2 linked regions of the Diceros bicornis minor genome follow. The protein of the gene in region 1 purifies or fractionates together with the protein of each later gene. This does not show direct contact. Links are inferred from orthologs where the notes say so. Each region holds a gene or a part of one and is shown in the gene's direction. Other genes may lie near its edges.

Region 1 (7,423 bases):
TTATATATTATGTATATCTTATCATAGTCTACTAATGTTGTCATTTTGCCAGTTAGACTGAAATGTAGAAAACTTACCTCCCTTTATGTCCCTTTACCCTCCCCAATTTTAGTATCATCTTAAATATTTTCTCTATATACATTTAGAACCACATCAGACAGTATTATAATTTTTGTTTCAACCATCAAACATAATATAGAAAACTCAAGAGGAGAAGGAAAGCTTATTGAATTTACTCATATTATGATTATCATGTACTTCCTCCCTTCCTGATGTTCCAAGATTCCTTCTTTTGTAGTTTTCTTTCTGTTTAGAAAACTTCCTTTAGTCATTTTTTTAAGGGTAAGTCTGCTGGTAACAAATTCTCTATTTTCCTTCATCTGAAAATATCTTGATTTACCCTTCATTCTTGAAGGATGTTTTTACTGAACATAGGATTCTGGGATGACAGTTCTTTTCTTTCAGCACTTGGAAAATATGCCATTTCCTTCTGGCCTGCATGGTTCCCGATGAGAAATCCACTGCCATTTGAATCGTTTTTCCCCTATAGGAAAGATGTTATTTCTTTCTCATTACTTTTAAGATTTTTTTCTTTGTCTAGTTTTCAGAAGTTTGACTGTGATACGTCTTTGTGTGGATTTCTTTGATTTTTCCTAATTATAGTTCACTCAGCTTCTTGAATCTATAGGTTTATGTCTTTTGTCAAATTTGGGACACTTTCAGCCATTAATTCTTTGAGTACTTTTTCGACTCTGTCCTCTTTCTTCTCTCCTTCTGGGACTTAGATGATAGGAGTGTTAGATCTTTTGTTATAGTCCTACAGGTCCCTGAGGCTCTATTCATTTTTGTTTTCAGTCTATTTTCTCTCTGTTGTTCATTTGGGTAATTTCTATTTTTCTATCTTCCAGCTCACTGATTTTTTCCTCTATCTCTTCCATTTTGCTGTTGAATGCATCCATTAAGGTTTTTTATTTCTGTTATTATATTTCTCAGTTCTAAAATGTCCATCTGGTTCTTCTTTATGTCTTCTGTTTCTTTGCTGAAATTTTCTATGTCTTTGACGAGGCTTCCTATTTTTTCATTTGTTTTGAGCATGTTTATTGAAGCATTTTTATCATGACTGCCTTAAGATCTTTGTCAGATGGTGTTAATGTGCCTGTCATCTGTGTTGGCACCTACTGATTTTCTTTTTTCATTCAGTTAGAGAACTTCCTGGTTCTTGACACGACAAGTGACTGTCTACTGAAATCTGTACGTTTTGGGTATTGTGTTATGATACTCTGGGTCTTATTTAAACCTTCTGTTTTTAGCTGGCTTCCTCTGACACTGCTCAGACAAGGAAAGGGTTGGCACCCCTCCTTACTGTCAGGTGAAGGTGGAAGTCCAGGTTCTCCACATCATCTCCGCTGACACGGTGGTGGTTCTGGAGGACTACTCTCAGTGGGCATGAACATCCTGATTCCTTATTCAGCCTTTCCTTGACATTACTCCAGTGGCTTGAGAGGAGGGAAAGTCAGTTACCTCCTTACAGCCTGGCAAAGATGGATCTAGATTCCTCACTTGGTTTTTGCTGGCATGTGTGGGGATTAGGCCACAGATATTTTTGGTAGTGTTTGGCTGTAGTAAAGGGACTATTCTCTGAAAAGTTTTCTATATTGCTAAGCTGCCCATTTCCTTATCCTTTAGCTAGAGAGAGCAGGCTTCCATAGGGTTTTTGTTTGTTTGTTTGTTTGTTTGTTTGTGTCTGTTGGTGTTTCCAGGTTGCTGGCTTCTCCAGAACCCAGTCTGGGATATACGGGGCAAAAAGAAAACCCAGAGAACTGACCAATGTGTCATTTTTCAGGTCACAAGGTCCCTATTCTTTTCTCCACCTTTCAGAATCTTCTTATGTTGTTTTATGTATAAGATCCAGGGTTAGTTGTATTTAGCAAGATGAATAGAGAAAATTATGTCTACTCCATCTAGACCATCTGGAAACCATCTACTCCATCTGGAAACCGAACCATCCCCAATAATATATATATATATATATACACATTTTTTTTTGCTGAGGAAGATTCTCCCTGAGCCAATCTTCCTCTATTTTGTATGTGGGTCACCACCACAGCATGGCTGCTGATGAGTGGTGTAGGTCTGCACCTGGGAACTGAACCCAGGCTGCCAAAGCAGAGCACACCAAACTTAACCACTAGGCCATGGGCCCAGCCCCAATAATATACTTTTAATTATTGCAGTTTTATATTATGTTTTGACATTTGGTAGCAACCCCTCCCTTATTAATTTCTTTTTTTTTAATTGTATTGGTTATACTCATGACTTACCTTCCAGATTAACTTTAGACTCAGCACTTCAAATTCCCTTTAAAAAATCCCATTGGGTTTTTGATTGGGATTATATTAAATTTATAAATTAATTAGAGGGAGGTATCTACTGTATTAGAATATTAAGTCATTCCATCTAAGACCAAGATCTCTTTACTTTTTTTTCATGCTGTATGTCATGTCCTTCATTGAAGATTCATAGTTTTCTTGAACACTTCTCGTTAAATTTATTCTGACAGTTACAGGGTTTTTAAAACTGTAAATGTGATATTATTAACTAGCACTTTCTATTGGTAAGAGTCATTGGTTTCTATATATTTATCTTGTATCTGGCCACTGTACTTAATCTTTTCATTAATTCCTTCAGTGGCTATTTTTTTTTTTTTTTCTGTACTAAGCATCTGCTTCCCCCACATTTCTTCTGGTAACAATTACAGGAGTGCATATATAATCCAGTACAAGTCAATCACAGCACCTCATGCTCCTAGATGAAAGGTGGGCACATGACCCAAGACAAACCAGTCAAGACCCTTCCTAGGATTTTTATGGGTGATTTGACAGGGAAGAGGTTTGTTTCTTCTCTGGTCATGGAGTTGTCAGATACAATCCTAGGTACTACTGGTAGCCAATTTTCTCTAATTGCATAGGGAAGCTATTCTAATTTGGAAGATAATGAAGCTGAAACAGAGTATGAAACCAAAACAATTGAGAGAGAGAGAGAGAGAAAGAGAGAGAGCACGCAATATTTGTTCCTTGTTTACAATATACCCCTGCCTTTCCTATCCCATGAGCCAATAAGCCCCCTCTTCTTTAAATTACTTTGAGTGAGGTGGATTTATTTACAACTAAAAGAATCTTGACTGTACAGAACTGGTATCAGGAGTGGGATGTTGTAAGAAACAGAATTTAAAAGGTGAACCTGGCCAGGTGGTGTGGAAAGCAGTGAGAAACCATTCTTTGCAATTTGGGAAGATAATTATCCTCATGGAAATGGATCAGCTGGATTAACCATCTCCTGTTGTACTTTAGAGCTCAGACTGTGTGCCTAATGGCGTTGTAATTATTGGGGATTTGATAGAAAAATGTTAGATATTGAATGTGATATACTACTTGTGATCTTCAGTATGGTGCTACAAGATAACAAAAATCTTTCTTTTAAACTGGACCATAAAAAGAGATTGGATAATTAGCTTTGTTAAGAAAGATCTAGTCTGTTTGTAACCAATGACCTAAGACCACTGAGAGACAATTGTGTGCTACATGTAATTGTAAAAGCTGAATTTAATTTTCTATGCTAAAGTTAGGAGGAGTCAGAGGAAACAATCCATTATAATCATAATCTGTTTGTTTGTTTGTTTTCCATCTCTCTATTCTTCCTCAGGGTTGGATAATTCCCCTCATAGTCCCAAAGCCCTCATGACTGACGGCAGCTCCTGGGGCTACAAGCTTCCTTGTTCAATATCATCAGGAGAAACAAGACCATGCCCCAACATTTTCAGTGAGTCCCATGATTCACTCTGATTGGGCTGCCATAGATCTGGAGCCCATCCCTGAACAATCATTTTGGCTAGGGAGACAGGAACATACTGACTGGCACACCCCTAGATTTGGGGATAGAAAACAATCCCAGATTAAATCTCTTGGCTGAGAATGGGAGGGGGAAAGATGGTTTCCCAAAGGAAATTCAAGGTCTCGGTCCCAGAAAGGATGGTGGGCAAAGAACCCCAGATATCCATATACCAAGGAAGAATCTTAACCTAAGGCCTAGATGGACAGTCAGAGCCCCCAAGCCTGTTGCTAAGAGACAAACCACAAAAGCCAGGTTCAGAATCAGGTTTCATGACTGGGCAAGATTTCCAGCATTGGTTACTTGCACATGGCATCCCTAGGAATGGAAATGGCAGACAGCCAACTAGGATTTAAGGCAGTTGTGTCACCAGAGAAATCCCAAGCCTGGCAAACACGGGCCTCCGATTGCTCAACTCTGAGATAATTCCAACTCTAACTATGCCAGTGGGAAGTGGGGCACTTGAGCAGGACACCTCCCAAGAGGGGACTTCCCTTTAAATTCCTCTTGGGTCTGGCCATGGACGAGATAAATCCAGGCAGTGGCCAAAATCAGGGGCAATCAGACTTGCTAAGACACACCTGATTTCACTGCCAAGGAAGTGAGTCCTTGTAGGTCCTGCCTTCTGCCTGTGGTATTTTCCAGACTGTGGACCACTGTCTGGTATTTTCCCTTGTCCACTTTCTTTTAAAAAATATACTTAAAATTTTTTTTACAAAAATAATAAGTACTCATTTTTATAACACCAAATAATATAAAAAGTTATAAAATGAAACTTTAGTCTGTTCCTAGACCCTCCCCTATTGGATCCACTCCTCCCCCCTGGAGGGTTACACTATTAAGAGTTAGGTACGCATCCTTCAGAGGTTGTCCTATGTATGTACCTACAAGTACAAACATACATCTAAACTGTGCAAGACAGTCAAATTGAAAAATTAAAGTCTTCCTCCATCAATCTGACGCCCATCCCCCAGAAGTAATCATTTTCAACCATTTCTCTTTTTAGCCTTCCTGACAATACTTCCATAATGCCAGAAAATATGCTAATATCTCTAATTCATCGTTTCAACAATATCTCCTGACTCGCTGCAATGAAAGATAACGAGTTTAGCTTGCTTTCACTGCGTCCCTTCTTTCCCTAATCCCTGCCAGTCACATATTTACTTACCCTTTCTATTATTTAATTTTAGGACTTTAAATAACATATTTAAACATCTATTTCCTGACTTCTCTTCAGATTGTTGCCTGTACAAAAAGGACTTTATTTTATTCTCGTACCTGATTGCTATTTTGGCTGGGTATAATCTCCCATCAACATCAGTTAGGATTAAGTACAGTGTAAATAAGGGACCCAAAACAGCAGTGGCTCGAAGTTGAAGTTTATTTTCTTTCTCATGTAGAAGATTGCAGGGGACTGGGCTCCTTCCAGTTTTCTACTCTGCCACACTTAGGATGTGGTCCTTGTCTTCACGGCCCAAGATGGTGGCCTCATATTGGCTTCCAGGCAGCAGGACGGATGGAGGAAGGTGCAAAGAAGGAAGGGACAGTCACATGGCCACACTTAGCTTTAAGGGAGGCTGGAAATGTAGCCTTGCTTTTGGATGGCTACGTGCCCAGCCAAAGACCCAAGGTTCTATTACTAAGGAAGAATGGGGGACAGACGCTGGGGACACTAGCAGTCTTGCCACTCCCTCTGCCCTTTGCAGGCTTGCTCACCTTCTTCTTGTCGGGATTGTCGGTGAGACATCTGATGACAATCTGATTTTCATTTCTTTGTACGTAATCTGTTCTTTCCCCTGGAAGATTTCACATGAGAGAGAATTACATGTGCAGAAACCTTGGGGCCCGAGAATACAAATCATTTGCTCACAGTGCTGTGACTTGAGATTGTCCTTTTCTGACTCCTTCCTTCCTGTGCCCTCTGCGTTCACCCACTCAACCAATGTGGGTGCTCTCCAGCTGTGTACCTTCGGCCTTCCTCTCACTCTCCCTGAGTGACAGCATCCTCCCATGGCTTTGGCTGCCGCCCACGGGGTTGAATTCCAAATTTATCTCCACAGCTTACATCTCTTTCTCAACCTCGAGATCCAAAACAATCCAGTCATCTACTGGTATCACCACCTGACTGACCCACAGGCTGCCCGAGCTCCTCACGTGCCAGTCTGAGCTCTCCAGTTCCTCTCACCTCACTGCACAGCAATTCGCCCCTTTGCCCAAGGCAGAAACCCACAATTTCTGACCGGTCTACACCTCTATATGTTGCTTCCTCTCCCTGAACTTCCCTCTTCCTTTCTTCCCTTGATTAATTCTCATTCATCTTTCATAACTCTGTTGAGGGGTAACGTTTTTGGCAAAGTGTTTCCTGGTTTGGTTCTGCCTCAGTCTGGGTTGGGTGGCCCTCTCTTGGGTTCCCAAGCTAGCTGGAGAGTCCCCGTATCCCATCACCACTGCGACACTTTCTGATCTTCTGCACCCTCGTCTGGACTGTGAGCTATTTGATGGTAGAGATGGGGTCTTATCTCTGAATCCCCAGCATCTGGTAGAGCATTTGGCACATAGAAGTGGCAGCTTCAGAGCTTGCTGCGCCGTTCCCCAGTCACAGCCTCCGTGCCTTGCTCTACTCCAGCGCGGCAAAAATCTCCAGCCCTACAGAGACTGCGGTGCAAGTCTCTGATTACTGTTTTCCAGAGATATGCTGCAAAGGACAGGAACAGCAGCAAACTCTCCAAGACCGAGTTCCCAGCCTTCGTGAACAGAGAACTGGCTGCCTTCACAAAGAACCAGAAGGACCCTGGTGTCCTTGACTGCGGGATGAAGAAACTGGACCTCAACTGTGATGGGCGGCTAGATCTCCAAGAATTTCTTAATCATATTGGGGGCTTGGCCACAGCTTGCCATGAATCCTTTATCAAGTCTACTTATTCCCAGAGTAAATCTCAGGAGCCCTTGGGCCTGGCCTCCATACCCGCCCACCTCTTTTCCTTCCAGCCTCCCAACCATCATCTACTCCTCACAGCCCACACATACCCTGAGCCCAGCACACCCGCCACCCCATGCCAGCCACTCCTGCTGCTGTTAATAAAACAATATCGTTTTTTAACACACACACACACACACACACACACACACACACACACACAAAAGGGGCAGCTTCCATTTTTTGCTGTCCAGCTCATTTCCCATACACCTCCTGATAACTGCAACCCCGTTTCTTTGGGGGACTTCCTCCTTCACTCCACGTGGTCCTGAGGAGCTGGGAATTGGGGTGCTCTCTCTGCTTCTGCCTCCTCTACAGATATGGACATGTGATCCAGGCTGGATTAATCACAGTCTACCATGTCATTAATCACAGTGATTAGACCAACGAGTATCAGTGACCAAGAAGGACCAATCAGACTCTTCCTTGGGATTAACATATAGACATGGGAGGGAGGGCCTCTCCACGCTGGGATTGCTAGTTGAGAGGATATGTTGGGATTGCTAGTTGAGATGGTATGTTTGGATTGCTAGTTGAGAGGATATGTTGGGAGTGCTT
Region 2 (7,695 bases), on another chromosome or scaffold:
TTATTTTGCCAACCACAGAGATGAACTAAAAAAGGAACATTTAATTTACAACAGAATTTAGAGGAAATATACAGGACTTAGGACAGTCTTCCATCTAGCAAAAGATTTTTTTTTTTTTTTTTGTGAGGAGATCAGCCCTGAGCTAACATCCGCCAATTCTCCTCTTTTTTTGCTGAGGAAGACGGCCCTGGGCTAACATCTGTGCCTATCTTCCTCCACTTTATATGGGACGCCGCCACAGCATGGCTTACCAAGCAGTGCGTCGGTGCGCGCCCGGGATCCGAACCAGCGAACCCCGGGCCGCCGCAGCGGAGCGCGCGCACTTAACCGCTTGCGCCACCGGGCCGGCCCCCTAGCAAAAGATTTTTAATGTTAGAAATGACCTCAGGATAAAATTCAAATCAAGGGGATTGCTGTAAAACACCTTAAGACCTCTGAAAGATTCAAGGCAGTGACTTAGAGACTTCCTTAGACGGACACAGGGGCTTCTAAGAATCCACAAGGCCTCAAATGTGGCCCAACATAGAAAGATAACCTGTCTCAAAAAAAAAAAAATTATGTCTGTGTCTTCTAGGGCATAAGGTAAACCCCAGTTAGATTCACAAGAAGCCTACAAAGTTTTTAAGAGAGTTGTGTCAATTTAGATTAAAAGAGACAGAGACAGATCAAAATGAAAAGAGGCCTCTGCACCCCCAACTTTCTTTGGACAAGAGGCAGGCTGGGAAAACTACTCAGCTGCAAACAGGAGCCATATCTAATGGAAAAGAAAGGACTCAGTGACAGGGCCAAGAGTCAAGGAGGCCAATAGGTGGGGAAACCAAGGAACACTAGGAGCAGAACTGGGCCCCAATAAAGGAGAATTCCCTGGCTCTAGGGCCAAGGGAGCTGGTGACATATGCCCAACTGGATTTCAGAATTCTGTGGTTCAGTGTTTCCATTCTGAATGCACATCACCCCCTACACCCTGCCTTACGAAATTGGAGTGTTTATTGCTGTTATCCTGTTCCTGTTTCACCATTAAATGTTGGGGAACAGTTGAGCAGAGATGAGGAGGACACATAATTTGTCTTTTAGTTCACAGCAATCTGGGTCAAGAGGTGCTGTACCCAAAGAGCTGAACCTGTGGTATCATACCTGAGGAGCTTTGTCTGCACCTGGACTTGATTTACATGACAAGATACACAAAGCTGACTTTGGTGATTAAATGAGACTTTGGGGGCTTGGGAATGGGGTAAGTGTAGTCTGCGCGTAAGAGGGATATAAGCCATTGTGGCCAGAGGACAGACTATGGGAGATTGCTGCATAATGGCCTCCAACGAATCATGCCTCCCAGTGGCCCACACCCCTTTGCAATGTGACACTGCCACTCCTTCTATGAAGAGATGGACTCTCTTCCTCTACTGGCCTTGTGACTTCCTTTGATCGTGTAAAGCAGTCTCTGGGCCCCCAACTCTCTTTGGGCAGGAGGCACACTGCAGGAGGTGGAAGAATGTGATGGAATGACATTATTTGAGATCCAGAGCCTAGATCTTAAGATATGCCATAGCTCCCACAATCACCCTCTTAGAATACTGCTCTGAGACTACCAGGCATGTGAAGAAGCCTGGAATAAAGACTACATGGAGAGAGATGCCTGGCCATCCCAGCTGTCTCAGCTGAGCCCAGCCCCCAGACAACCTGCCCGCTGAAGGCAGCTGCCTGAGTAAGTCCAGGCAAGACTGACAGAATAACCACTCAATCAACCTGCAGAATCATGAAAAATAACAAATCATTTTGTTTTAAGCCTGGATTTTGGTGTTTATTGTCACTCAGTAGTAAATATCTGGAACTGGAGCTTAAGTAGCTTAGGTGAGTAGTAAGATATATCTCTTACTAGCTCACACATTATCTGTTTGTACTGTACTATTATTCCAAAGACACATTAGCTCATCTCATGAATAGAGATGGCAAAGTATCATAACCATAACATGCCTTGGATTGATGAGTATTATTTAACATTTATTGAGTAACTATGAACTATAGTATTATCCTTAGAATGAAGTAATACTCATCTAATCAAAGTTTTTTACTTTTTGTGAAACTTGACATTGCTGCAAATATAATCTCAGTATACCCGTTACCTTTTATAGTGTAAGAAGAATAATGGCCATTAGCTGTATCACCCTCACATGAGTTCTGAAATGGACAGAGAAGCGGTATAAAAAAGTAAAGAAAGAAAAAAACCTTTACACTGATCATTATTACCTGGACAATAAAGAAACCCTGGTTGTAAAGCTATAATGGAACAATAAAAACACTGGTCAGTCAGATGGCAAAACGGTCATCTTCATCAAAAAGTCAAGAAATGCTTTTTTCTTGTTAGCAATTGGTTATAGTAAGATTCTGGGACTGTCTAGGATTTGTTCATGTACTCATTTGTTTATTTATTTGACAAATATTTATTAAGCGCTTACTAATGTGACAGGCATTGTGTTAGATACTGGAGATGTAATAGTGAATGAGACAGATATGGTTTCTGATCTCACAAAGTCAGCTGGGGATAGAGGGTGGGTGAGTAATGAAAATGTAAATACACTGTTACAACAGAGTGTGATGGGGACATGATAGGACACGAGTAATAGGATTTTGTTGATTCTTCTTAAAAGTTTCTTTAACTCAATAGCTTCCAGGCTGCAACTGTAAAAACATTTTGTAATTCTGTTTGTAAATACAAAACAATTTGTAATTTGAAATGCTGTCTATTTTGTAAATTGTTCACTTTTGCAGGAAGTGCTACATCTTGACTCCAGGAACTTTCTAGGTTCCTGGAGACCTATAAATGCCCTTGGATTATGTCATCTGGGGATCTTTATACTGTATTGTATCTTGATACTACTAACCCACAGAAGATGCTGCACATAGAAGACATTATTCTTTGATTTTCCCTTAGGATTTCCAGCTGGTGCCTAAATGGATTTTTCAGAAGACGGAGTATCTTCAGAGAGCAAAATGACGACCCTTCTTAATGTAATGTGAGTGGTGGTTTCAAATGTCTAAAGTCAGCTTTCCCTCATGCCCCTTTAAATCTACAGCTGAGACTACCAGCCTCATTTTTGGTTTGTTTTTGACTGCTACCTTGCAGGCATCTTGAGGATCAAGACCATGCCCTCGTCATCTTTGTTGACCCAGAAGTCGTGTAATAAATGTTTGTTGACTGACTCAAAGAATCCTTGCTGAGAAATTATCATTGGAGACCATGACTATTTTCCTACTGCATTTTTATCTGGGCATGTTCAAAACTTTGATTTTTAAATCACTTTAGCAAACCAACAAAAAAAGAAAAGAAATAAATAAACTAAACACAGAAAGCAAGACAAGACTGGGCCTAGTTTTTCTTTTGAATTCTCTTTTACTGTGAAAGATTATTTTAAAACATTTGCTCCATAAAAATTTTTTAATTGTCTTATTTTATTCATAAATTGCATTATTGTATATGTATCAGGGACAATACAATACAAAAATAAAACTAAAATGGCAACCCATTTTGTAAAATGAAACTTGTAAAAGCCAACACATTACGCATTGTTTCAAGAAGGTACTGTTTTTAGAGCGCCAAACAGGTATTAAAAATTAAGACGGAAAAGTAGGGAATGGCACCACTCATGAAAAAATCTACTTCCTCTTAGACGGCAGATGGTGAAAAATGACTTCATAACAAAGGAAGCAGCCCTCATGAAGGACTCGACAACCCTAGGAAAAGCGTTCCTCGGATAATTGCTGCAAAGTTTGACAGCAGAGTCCCTGCTCCTCCCGCGAGGAGCTGAACTCGAGCTGTGCGTTTCCCGTAGCTTTTCCTGTCATCGAGCCACAGGCCTTTTCTCTGACCCCTTTCGCGCTGCCCCCTACCCTTCCTCTCCTCAGTTAGGGAAATGTAAAGCACAAAGAGAAAAAGACTCGTAGCCCTTTCTTCCCGTTCCCCCGCTCCCCGTAGGCCACTAGGCTACTTCGCACCTTCCCTCCCCGCTGTCGCAGTCGGCCCTCTGTGTTCCCCGCGCTCCTGCTCCTCCCCTCCCCCTCCCTCCTCCTCCCCCTCCCCTCCCCCGGCTCGCTCTTCCTCTCTGCCCTCCCTCCCCCTCCTCCCCTCCCCCTCCCCCCTCCCCTCCCCCCTCCCCTCCCCCGGCTCGCTCTTCCTCTCTGCCCTCCCTCCCCCTCCCCCTCCTCCCCTCCCCCTCCCCCCTCCCCCTCCCCTCCCCCGGCTCGCTCTTCCTCTCTGCCCTCCCTCCCCCTCCCCCTCCTCCCCTCCCCCTCCCCTCCCCCGGCTCGCTCTTCCTCTCTGCCCTCCCTCCCCCTCCCCCTCCTCCCCTCCCCCTCCCCTCCCCCGGCTCGCTCTTCCTCTCTGCCCTCCCTTCCCCCAGTCCCGCTTCCCGGCGCGCTCTCCTCCCCCCGCCCCCGGGCCCGCGCCGGCCCCTCCCGCGCCTCCTGCCGTGTGACACATCCCGGGCCCTCCCGCCGGCGGCAGCAGCGGCAGCACTGGCCGCCGCCTCCGCCGGAGCCGCAACCCGGCTCAGCTGCCCCGGCTGCGCCGCTGCTGCAGTCATGGCTGCTGACGGGGTGGACGAACGCTCGCCTCTGCTGTCAGCATCCCATTCGGGAAATGTCACTCCCACGGCCCCACCGTACTTACAAGAAAGCAGCCCCAGAGGTAAGGCCAGCATAGACCTTTGTACTTCGCAAAGAACAGCCTAGAATGTACAAGACTAGGGAGCTCTAGCTCCGAGGCGGAGGAGAGATTCCCAGTTGGGCTGGGAGACGGGGATGCTGACTGCGCCTTCAGATGCAGAGCCTGCCTGCTTGAGAGCTTCACCGCAGGGCTTTCTGGTTGGCGTGGTGTGGGATGTGTGAGTGTCTATTTCACCCCTTCCTACCCACTGGTGTGGGATGTGTGTGTGGGTGCGTGTGTATTTATTTCACCCTTTCTTACCCACTGGTGCCTGTGGGGTGTGTGTGCCTGTGTGTGTTTCACCACTTCTTACCCCCAGGGTACAGGATGTGACATGGATTTCCCAAACTGGGCTTTGCTGTTTAGAGCAGCCCCTAAGTGCAGCTGGGAGGTGGTGCAAATCTTTCACAATCATTCACAAATCCTTTCAGGTTGCTGAGAAACCCGGAATACTGCTCACCTTGGCATCTGTCCTTGAAAGGGCTTAGGTTGAAAATATGCATCTCCTACCATTCATCCACCAGTGATCTGTTCAATCAGGATTTTGCCTTACCAAAAGGAATACGAGTTAATCAATATTCCTAATATGTCTGAAATTCCTGCCCTTCCTCATTACTCCTACTTGTAAGGAGTGTGTGTTAGCTTTAGTTGTGAATGAGGAGGAATAGAAGGGAAGATGGGATGTTTTCAATGCATATCTGGGTGAGATTGAAAATAACTTCTAAAAAGTAACCTAAGTTAATACTGTAACATTGAAATAAGTATCTATTTTTCTTCTCAAGATAGAATCCCATTGATGGCAATGAGATCTGGAGAAAGAAGGGGGGGATCTATTTACCAAACTATTCAGTTTATTCGAAGAATCTGTCTTTGTTCTAAGCCTTTTAGTTGATTCCTATAGGAGAAATAAGGTGGGGTCAAGAGTTATAGCAAATGAAAGGCAAGACTTTAAAAAACCGCTTAGAGTACTGAAAAGATTGGTCAAATACGGCACTTGACAGCGTAGCTTAAGTGCGTCTCTCTCTTTTTTGGCTGAATGTGAGAGAAGTTTAAAAACCCAAGGAGGCAAACATTAATGCTTTTGAAAATATGGGTGGATCATGTCTCTTGTAATGCAACTTTTTCTAAGTTCAAGTCAGAAATTGGAGCAGCTGTAAATCAGGTTGAACTTGTCTAGTATTTAAAATTTCCATTTAACATGTTATAACTTAAAAAGCAACAATCTAGTTTTAATCCTTAACTTAACAAGAAGCAGGACCAAGGAAGAAGATGTTGAGCTGTGAATAATTCAGTGTGATCTATGAGTTGAGAAATAAGATGCAAAACGGAACAGGACTCACCCGCAGAAAACCCACACGTCATCGTTGTTGGTCAGCATTACACTTGTGTCAGAGAACACCAGGTAGGGAATTTCTTTTAATGGGCAAATTTGATATTAATATTTTACTGTTATCTAAATTGTATGGTCTAGAATAGGTTTAAATACTTATCAATGAATGTTTCAACTTCATCAAGTCACCCTTTTAAGACAAAAATTTTGACAATTTATTAAGAGACAGAGTTTGGATTTAAGCCACTATCCTGTAACCCATTTTCACGCCCTCTATTCTGCATCTATGTTCACGCCCTCTATTCTGCATCTATGTTTTTGTACTTTTAGTCAGCTAGTGGCTAAATTATTCCACAAAAATGGTCGTACTCATGGATCTGCTTGTAGACTTATCAGTTGCCATATATTTGTTTAATCTGATAAAACTCCTCCAACTAGGCAATAAGGTAACAAGTTCCAGTTCAGCTACCGAGAGAAAGAAGTTTCATTCCAGAAAACTTCTAACAGCTGGAGAAATTCAATGGTTTAGCAAAAGGCTCTTTCTGCCTTATAGTAGAATACATTTTTTTCTTAACTGGTGAATGAAACAGGTTAAATAATTAGAAACACTCATTTTATATGGCATAATACCTAGGAAGCAAGAAGCATAAATGAGAAGTAAAGGCATTTTATTTGCATTTTTGACAGCATATCTTTTCCTGGTAAATAACAAAATAAGTATCTTCATAAATGTTATGACACACGAGATCTGGTTCTACTAGACCAGCGCTCCTCACTCCCTCAGTGGTTCATCTTGCAGCACGGTGTGCCGAGACTGTGCTGGGTGGACAAGCCTGACCAAACCCAGGCCTCGTGGAGCCCCCGCTATAGCGGGAGACAGAATAAGTCAACACATGGCTCAGTTATTTCGGATTGTAAGAAACACTCTGTCACTAGACCAGATGTTTTCCCTAGTTGACAAGTAGAGTCAAAGCTTGGGATTCAAAGGATCAGAAATAGAATGTACTTTTTGATAATGAAATTTGGTTTATGATTCTCAGACTTTTATTTTTAAAAAAAGTAGTTAAGAGGGGCCAGCCCGGTGGCGTAAGCGGTTAAGTGCACGCGCTCCGCTGCGACGGCCCCAGCTCGCCGGTTCAGATCCCGGGCACGCACAGATGCACCGCTTGTCAAGCCATGCTGTGGCGGCGTCCCATATAAAGTGGAGGAAGATGGGCATGGATGTTAGCCCAGGGCCAGTCTTCCTCAGCAAAAAGAGGAGGATTGGCAGATGTTAGCTCAGGGCCGATCTTCCTCACACACACACACACACACAAAAGTAGTTAAGAGCTGTAATTAGCAAATATTTTGTCCAATCCAACCCTTTGCTATTTGTGTCATCTTCTAAGAACAGGCATGTTAGCTCCCACCCCAAGATGAAATGTTCCATTTCAAGTTGAAAGTTGGTGCAGTGTTTATATCTGGCCAGGTTATTGATAATGTAAAGGGGAGCAGTTAGTATTTTGTGACTGGTTTTAGCACAGTGAGGACACTCCACCTGGGTTTCTAAGTGGAATGCTCCTAATGGTCTCCTGTCAGTGCCGGCTTCCTGCGGAGTAGGAGATCAGCTCTCCCATTATAATGCTCCGTGTGGTACACTTGTCAGCTTTTGTTAAGGCATAGAAAT

Evidence for each region.
Region 2: the proteins of CDK5RAP3 (region 1) and PIP4P2 purify together in Homo sapiens (affinity purification with mass spectrometry; 3 studies listed by BioGRID and IntAct, counting the BioPlex papers as one, with this or other methods). This does not show direct contact. The link is inferred for Diceros bicornis minor from reciprocal best matches to the Homo sapiens genes CDK5RAP3 and PIP4P2.

What each region holds. Positions count from the first base shown.
Region 1 is NC_080757.1:38,083,620-38,091,042, reverse strand, and holds the start of CDK5RAP3 (CDK5 regulatory subunit-associated protein 3), read left to right. Parts: upstream 1-3,983; 5' UTR 3,984-3,986; coding exon 3,987-3,989; intron 3,990-5,898; exon of another isoform or gene 5,899-5,999; intron 6,000-6,484; exon of another isoform or gene 6,485-6,838; intron 6,839-7,183; exon of another isoform or gene 7,184-7,197; intron 7,198-7,423. UniProt on the Homo sapiens protein: Substrate adapter of E3 ligase complexes mediating ufmylation, the covalent attachment of the ubiquitin-like modifier UFM1 to substrate proteins, and which is involved in various processes, such as ribosome recycling and reticulophagy (also called ER-phagy).
Region 2 is NC_080760.1:10,725,473-10,733,167, reverse strand, and holds the start of PIP4P2 (type 2 phosphatidylinositol 4,5-bisphosphate 4-phosphatase), read left to right. Parts: upstream 1-4,514; 5' UTR 4,515-4,575; coding exon 4,576-4,681; intron 4,682-5,130; exon of another isoform or gene 5,131-6,016; coding exon of another isoform or gene 6,017-6,101; intron 6,102-7,695. UniProt on the Homo sapiens protein: Catalyzes the hydrolysis of phosphatidylinositol-4,5-bisphosphate (PtdIns-4,5-P2) to phosphatidylinositol-4-phosphate (PtdIns-4-P).